Caenorhabditis elegans: one gene and its partner. The protein of the gene in region 1 interacts with the protein of each later gene in a biochemical or structural test. Each region holds a gene or a part of one and is shown in the gene's direction. Other genes may lie near its edges. The genes, in order: his-61 and nap-1.

What was found.
Region 2: the proteins of his-61 (region 1) and nap-1 are reported together in a solved structure, tested with the Caenorhabditis elegans proteins (one study listed by BioGRID).

Annotation. Positions count from the first base shown.
Region 1 is NC_003282.8:7,485,294-7,488,156, reverse strand, and holds his-61 (Histone H2A), read left to right. Parts: upstream 1-1,939; coding exon 1,940-2,323; downstream 2,324-2,863. Other genes in the region: his-60 (Histone H4), read left to right, coding at 165-476; his-62 (putative histone H2B 4), read right to left, coding at 1,241-1,612; Kinetochore-associated protein rod-1, read right to left, coding at 2,830-2,863. UniProt on the Caenorhabditis elegans protein: Core component of nucleosome. Nucleosomes wrap and compact DNA into chromatin, limiting DNA accessibility to the cellular machineries which require DNA as a template.
Region 2 is NC_003282.8:8,376,901-8,381,201, reverse strand, and holds nap-1 (Nucleosome assembly protein 1-like 1), read left to right. Parts: upstream 1-1,882; 5' UTR 1,883-1,890; coding exon 1,891-2,016; intron 2,017-2,061; coding exon 2,062-2,229; intron 2,230-2,260; exon of another isoform or gene 2,261-2,382; intron 2,383-2,414; coding exon 2,415-2,582; intron 2,583-2,628; coding exon 2,629-3,117; 3' UTR 3,118-3,497; downstream 3,498-4,301. Other genes in the region: praf-3 (PRA1 family protein), read right to left, coding at 222-319, 719-928, 1,114-1,212; D2096.7 (ELYS domain-containing protein), read left to right, coding at 3,572-3,754, 3,801-3,891.

The DNA of each region.
Region 1 (2,863 bases):
TCTGCCGCTGTGGCAAGTAGAATATTCGGTGTGTTGCAAACAGCAGAAATGTGTCCCCGCAGAATGGTTCAATGTGACTCCGCCTACTCACCACAGCTCGGTACATAAGGAATCCTGTGATGTCATTCCTTCATCTCACTTGTGAGTCTTCAACTGAATCAACAATGTCCGGACGTGGAAAGGGAGGAAAAGGCCTCGGAAAAGGAGGTGCCAAGCGCCATCGTAAGGTTCTCCGTGATAACATCCAAGGTATCACCAAGCCAGCCATCCGTCGTCTCGCTAGAAGAGGAGGAGTCAAGAGAATTTCTGGATTGATCTACGAGGAAACCCGTGGAGTCTTGAAGGTATTCCTTGAGAATGTCATCCGTGATGCTGTCACTTACTGCGAGCACGCCAAGAGAAAGACCGTAACCGCCATGGATGTCGTCTACGCTCTGAAGCGCCAAGGAAGAACTCTGTACGGATTCGGAGGATAATTTCTTTTGTCTTTTCTGTTTTCATACAAACCAATTACCGAACCCAACGGCCCTCTTTAGGGCCACAAATATCCAAAATCCTAATTTTTCTTTGCTAATAAAAATGTTTTGCCACGCTGTATACAATATCATAAATTTTTTTAAGGTAATTTCATCATCAGGTTCGATAAAAATTTAATTAATTTTGCACATGAAGCTGACAATCACCATCATTATTCCGACGTTTAATGTGTTCCTTTGCCTGAACAAATTATCGCTTGGAAATTCACCAGAGCAGTCACCGTGTTCTGAAGATTATTGAAACTAAATTTCTTGGTACATGGTCTAAAATTTGTTGTTTAATTAGTTTGTTGCCTTTATTATTTTTGTGACACAAACTTTAAATTTCCGTGAATATAGACATTTTCATGTTACCTTCTCTAAGCTTCTTCGGTCACCGATCGATTTCCTCTGCGACATTTGAAATGTGAAATTCCACCTTAATTAAATTTGAGTTTCCTCATTAAACAGACGAGATTTATTTTATTTAGATTGATTAGATTGAACGCATTTTTATGAATGATAAGTTCGAACTCTTGAATTCCTTCGAAGGCTAGGAAAACGTAATACTAGATTAAGATTTCAAGAAAAGACCTAATATAAAAGACGTGAATATATAAGAGTGCATATAATTTATTAACGAACATGTAGTTTTGTAAGGATTTCAATATTTGTGGCCCTAAAGAGGGCCGTTGGGTTCGGTTGGTTAGTTTTCAGCCAATGGCTTACTTGCTGGAGGTGTACTTGGTGACGGCCTTGGTTCCCTCAGACACGGCGTGCTTGGCAAGCTCTCCTGGAAGAATCAAACGAACAGCGGTTTGAATTTCGCGAGAAGAGATGGTAGAACGCTTGTTGTAGTGAGCGAGACGAGAAGCTTCCGAGGCGATGCGTTCGAAGACATCATTGACGAAGGAGTTCATGATAGACATGGCCTTTGAGGAGACTCCGGTGTCTGGGTGAACTTGCTTGAGAACACGGTAGATGTAGACGGAGTACGATTCCTTGCGGGCATGGCGTCTCTTCTTTCCGTCCTTTGGCTTGGCAACGACGGTCTTAGCGGCCTTCTTGGCTCCCTTGGCGGATGGCTTTGGTGGCATGATGAGAATGGACTTGAATCAAGTATGAGGAAATGGTCGGAGCGGCAGATATTTAAGTAAAAACTGCGGTGGATGGGCGGAGCTTCCTGCAGGGACACATTTCAGAGTGCACACAACACTCCGAATGCACCGATGCATGTAAATTTGAGACACAGAGACTCTGTGTCGCAGACAAACAATGAGGCTAGAGATAACAGGGGAGGGTGAGGGACAGAGAACCGAGAGGTGTCCCCGCAGTAAGCTCCGCCCCGCCACCGAAGAAATGAATATAAACAGACAGTTTCGGTTCATTCTTCAGATTCGTCTTACGAACACCAACCGCTCATCATGTCTGGACGTGGAAAGGGAGGCAAAGCCAAGACCGGGGGAAAGGCCAAGTCACGCTCATCAAGAGCTGGACTTCAATTCCCAGTCGGTCGTCTTCATCGTATTCTTCGCAAAGGAAACTATGCTCAACGTGTTGGAGCCGGAGCTCCAGTTTACTTGGCCGCTGTTCTTGAATACCTCGCTGCTGAGGTTCTCGAATTGGCCGGTAATGCTGCCCGTGACAACAAGAAGACCCGTATCGCCCCAAGACATCTTCAACTCGCTGTCCGAAACGACGAGGAGCTCAACAAGCTTTTGGCCGGAGTGACCATCGCCCAAGGAGGAGTTCTTCCAAATATCCAAGCTGTTCTTCTTCCAAAGAAGACTGGTGGAGACAAGGAATAAGAACTTTTTTCTTAAAAACCCAACCGAACCCAACGGCCCTCTTTAGGGCCACAATTATCTGAAATCCTAACTATCAATTGAATAAATTGTTTTTTATTATTATAAATCTTGAAGACACGTTAATAGTGAATGTTGAACGAAATTGTGATAATTCGAAAAGCTATCAACTTCAATCCTGTTTGATTCACTTTTCTTTGCATTTATTTCGTTTTCTGTTCACCTGGAAAGCAGTGTTGAGGAAATATTTCGATTTTATCAACTTTTCTTTCAAACTTCAGGTCGTATGTTAAAAAATGAATGCTTCTCTTTCTTAAGATGAATATAATTTATTTAATCGTTTGAATTTACAATTGAATAAAAAACTTTCTCGATGATTTACCATAATTTGGTAGAAAGATGTAATAGAGCGTAAAAAATTAAATTAAAATACTGAGAAAATAATAGTCCCCTTTATTGAGATCTATGCTAGTTTACAGGATAAAACAAATAAAAACCAACGAATTTATTTAAGAGTTGGAAGAGTTTGCGCTAACAGGAACG
Region 2 (4,301 bases), 890 kb from region 1:
AAAATTTTAGCGATTTTCCGGCTTTCAAGGAGTTCAAAAATAAATATATCTTTGTTTTAATTTCAGCAAAATTAAAAAAAAAACACATTAAGAATTTTATTTTTTACAGTTATATTTGATTATTAAGTCCATTTATAACTGCGACAAATTTACATTAAATAAGAATATTGTCCACTTATGAAAACAGTTTTACAACATTAGTAATTTTTTATAAAACTTACGCAAAGGCAACCACAAGAACGGATTGGAAGACAGAAATGAAGAAATAGGCAACGAGAATTATTCCTCCAAGAGTGACCAATGGATGATCCGTGCGCATCTTAAAACTTGATTTTTTTTTGGTAATTCTTGGTTTCAGTAATTGTTTTTGGACCAATTTTATGTGCCATCATGTTTTAATCTATATTTTTCAATTATTTTTTTAGCTTTAACTTGCAAAAAAACGATTATCACAACAATAATTTTCATCAACGAAGTGCACAAACTGTTACGTGAAACATATGTTAACTTATCCTATTCAGGTAAACGGTAAAAACGAGCTCTTTTTATTTTTTACGGTGGACATGGCTTAATTTTATGCTGCTGCGTTTTGCATCTGAAACTTGAACTTAAACTAATTTTGAATTCCAAATTCCAATAAAACTTTGTACCTATCAATTCCGTCAACAATTCGAATTTCTTATCAATATAAAAACATCACATTCCCGTCAATCATTACCTTTTTGATATTTGCATCAGCCGAGACAGCAAAGATTAGAGTTGCAATTACGGCGACAACGGCGATAAGACCGACGAAAATGTCCTGGCTACTGATGAACGTGTGCAGAAGGAATAAAGTGATGATTGTAACAAAGTAGTTGGTTTGAAAGTACAGAAGATTCGAGATTATTCGATTGTTCCATTTCTTGAAGTCGTTAAATGGTGGACGCTGAAAATCAATCAATTGGATTTTTATCTTTTGAATATTGAAATAAAAAACTCGATTATTTTTAAATTAAACTCTAAGTAAAAATTTTAAACGACCACTTTAGTCAAACTTCAACATATGTAAATATATTTTCTACAAAAGTTGGCCCTTCTTTAAAAATATATGTAATAACAATTCAAGCCTACCTCGTATCGATCGGTTTCCAGCAGAAACTCGTGAAAATTTCTGAACGGTGGCACTTCCACGCCATTCATAATTTGCATATTTTCTGAGGACGTCGTCATTTTTCCCTGAAAATAACAATGAATTTGAAAACTCGCTAAGATTTTCGGAAGTTGAAAATATTTAAAGTAAAGTGAGAAGTTTTGTGCTGAACGGGGGAACATCTGGCGTCGAATGCTATGTGTAATATTCTAATAGCTTAAGGAACTTCGAGAGAATCGAGAAAACGAGAAATATGATTCCAAGATGTGGGTTATTTGAAGAGCTATCAAATTTTAGAATTTGAAACGCAAAAAACTGTTTATTTAAAAAAAAAAGTGCCTACAATTAGTTTCAAATGCAATCAAATTTCAGGAGAATTTACTATCATAACAAATCCATACTTTTATAAATAAAAATCAATACAATTATTATATGTAAATCACCAAAACAAACCAGAAAACAAACGACAATATGAAAACATTGATAAAAAATAATATAGGCATGAAAGACCATCTCGTAAATAATAAGCTTGTGTGCGCCTTTAACCGCGGGTCTCACCGCGAAGAGACATTTTATGGAGGAGGAGCGAAGTGGTTGTTTGGAAAATATATTTTCAACTCTCGTCCTATGATTTTAGACAGCACTGCTTCGTTTCACAATAATTTTACAGATTTTTTCTCGAATTTTCGAAAATCATCGTATTTTTTTGCTTGAAAGAGTATGCCAAAATCATCTATTTATGCTTTGTAGGTAATAAAATGGCTGATCAAGAGCATATTGACGCTGGACTTCTCAGCACCAACTTCGACATGATTCAGGCTTTGCCTCTCAATGTCAAGCAACGCGTCTGCGCTCTCAAAAACCTTCAAATGAAGACAATTCAGGTTAGTTTTCTTTGTTTATGTTCTTAAGTATATAATTTATTTCAGATTGAATCTGACTTCTACAAACGTGTTCACGAGCTCGAGATCGAGTTTGAAGGAAAGTTCAAATCCACTTTCGATCAAAGAAAGGCTATTGTCGCGGGAGAGGTCGAGCCAACTAAAGAACAAATCGACACTCCAATCCTCGAAGGACTCGAGGGAGATCAACTCGCTGTAAGTTCCTAATCAAGATTCCCTATATAGCCTGCAACTATTCAAGAGATTTGCCTCCCGTGGGGCACGCCTTTTTTCGTTGCGAAATAAAACATGTCCTTTATTCCCGCTCCTGGATTGTGTTTCTTGCGCGATGATATGGCTATGACAATTCCAGCTTATTAGTTGACATTTCTTTGTTTCAGGAATTGTACAAAGCTGCGGAGGCTGACCCATCAGCAAAGGGGATCAAGGATTTCTGGCTCACCGCTCTCAGAACCCATGATCTTGTTGCTGAAGCCATCGAGGAGCATGACGTACCAATCCTCTCATATCTCACTGATGTGACGACCGCCGCTAGCAAGGATCCAGCCGTAAGCGCATTTCATTGTTTTCGAAAGTTAATGTTTTGAACTTCAGGGTTTCAAAATCGAGTTCCACTTTGCCACCAACCCATACTTCAAAAACCAAGTTCTTACCAAGACCTACTTGCTCGGTTTCGACCCAGATGCGGAGGCACCACTCCAATTCGATGGACCACATGTCATCCGCGCTGTCGGAGATACTATTGAGTGGGAAGACGGCAAGAACGTCACCAAGAAGGCTGTCAAGAAGAAGCAAAAGAAGGGAGCTAATGCTGGAAAGTTCCTCACCAAAACTGTGAAAGCAGATAGTTTCTTCAACTTCTTCGAGCCACCAAAGAGCAAGGACGAGAGAAATGAAGATGAGGACGATGAACAGGCAGAGGAGTTCCTTGAGCTCGACTACGAGATGGGACAAGCTATCCGTGATACCATCATTCCACGTGCTGTTCTTTTCTACACTGGAGAACTTCAATCAGACGATATGTTCGATTTCCCAGGAGAGGACGGTGATGATGTGTCAGACTTCAGTGACGATGAGGCTTAAGCAGTATCGATGGACCACTTATTAATTTGCCAATTTTTGAAATTATTAATTTTCCATTTTCTTTTTTAAAATTTTTTTGATTATTCCCAACCCCTTCACATAATAGGCGGAAAACCGATTGTTGCTGTTACTTGTTGTTGTCGTTTATTCCCTGACCTATCCATATTCCGCTTCTCCCAATCTCTAAAGATATACCTGAAAACGAGTTGTCGTCGAAATACTTGATACATGTTGTCTTCATCCTGGTGTATGTTGTTTCGCAAATTCTTCATACTAGTTATGATAGGATTTGAATGAGCTGGCACGAGTCGACTTTGAACTCGAATTTCAATATTTTCGTGATCCTGCATTAAGTGATGAATAAAATCCCTTGTTGCGAATTTCAGTCCTTCTGAGGTCTTGCCATCTGGAACATCTTTCAGGAGAGATCGTCTATTTCAAAACCCTCTGCATTATGTTGGACGGCTACCAACTCCTCTTAAAAGCACAGTGCTCGGAATCGCTAGACTTGCTAGGACTGTCACAAGCAGAGATATTGATTATCATCGAAAACGAAAGACGATATGATGTGAAAACTCGTCTCTGCGAGAGGATTGCTTTTTTAATTTACCAAGACTCGAACTTTGGACGTTTACCGGTATCACCCAACACATTCCTTTCAGATGTATTTAATTGTTCTTCAGCACAACTCTTCGGAAGTTTTCGCGTCCATCAACAGATTATGTAAATCAATGCCAACTGGTTTTTCATTTGAAGGTAGATATTCAAATTATGGTAATCTTCTTATTATTATCTCAATTATACAGTTTGGTGTTACCTAAAAGTTCTAGTCTCAATAGACAAATACTTGTTACTTTCCCAAAATATTTGAAGAACAGAAAAAGTATTTGCACACATTTTCGAGTTAAATGTCGTCGGTTTTTTTCTCTTCAAATTTCGAAATGTTGCGAAAAAAGAGAACATATGTCTGCGTCTACTTCTCTCGAGTTCTCTAGCATGTACTTTATCGAAGAGACCCGAAAAAAGTTTCGAATGTTTCTGTGCTGCAAAGTGCACTTTTCATTTAATCGAAGCCAGTTGGTTAAATGGAACAAAATGATTGGGGGCGAAATAGTATAAATAAAGTGGAATGTTCTGAAAGAATCATAAGCTTAAAAATATGTCTAGAGCAGAAAGATCCACTA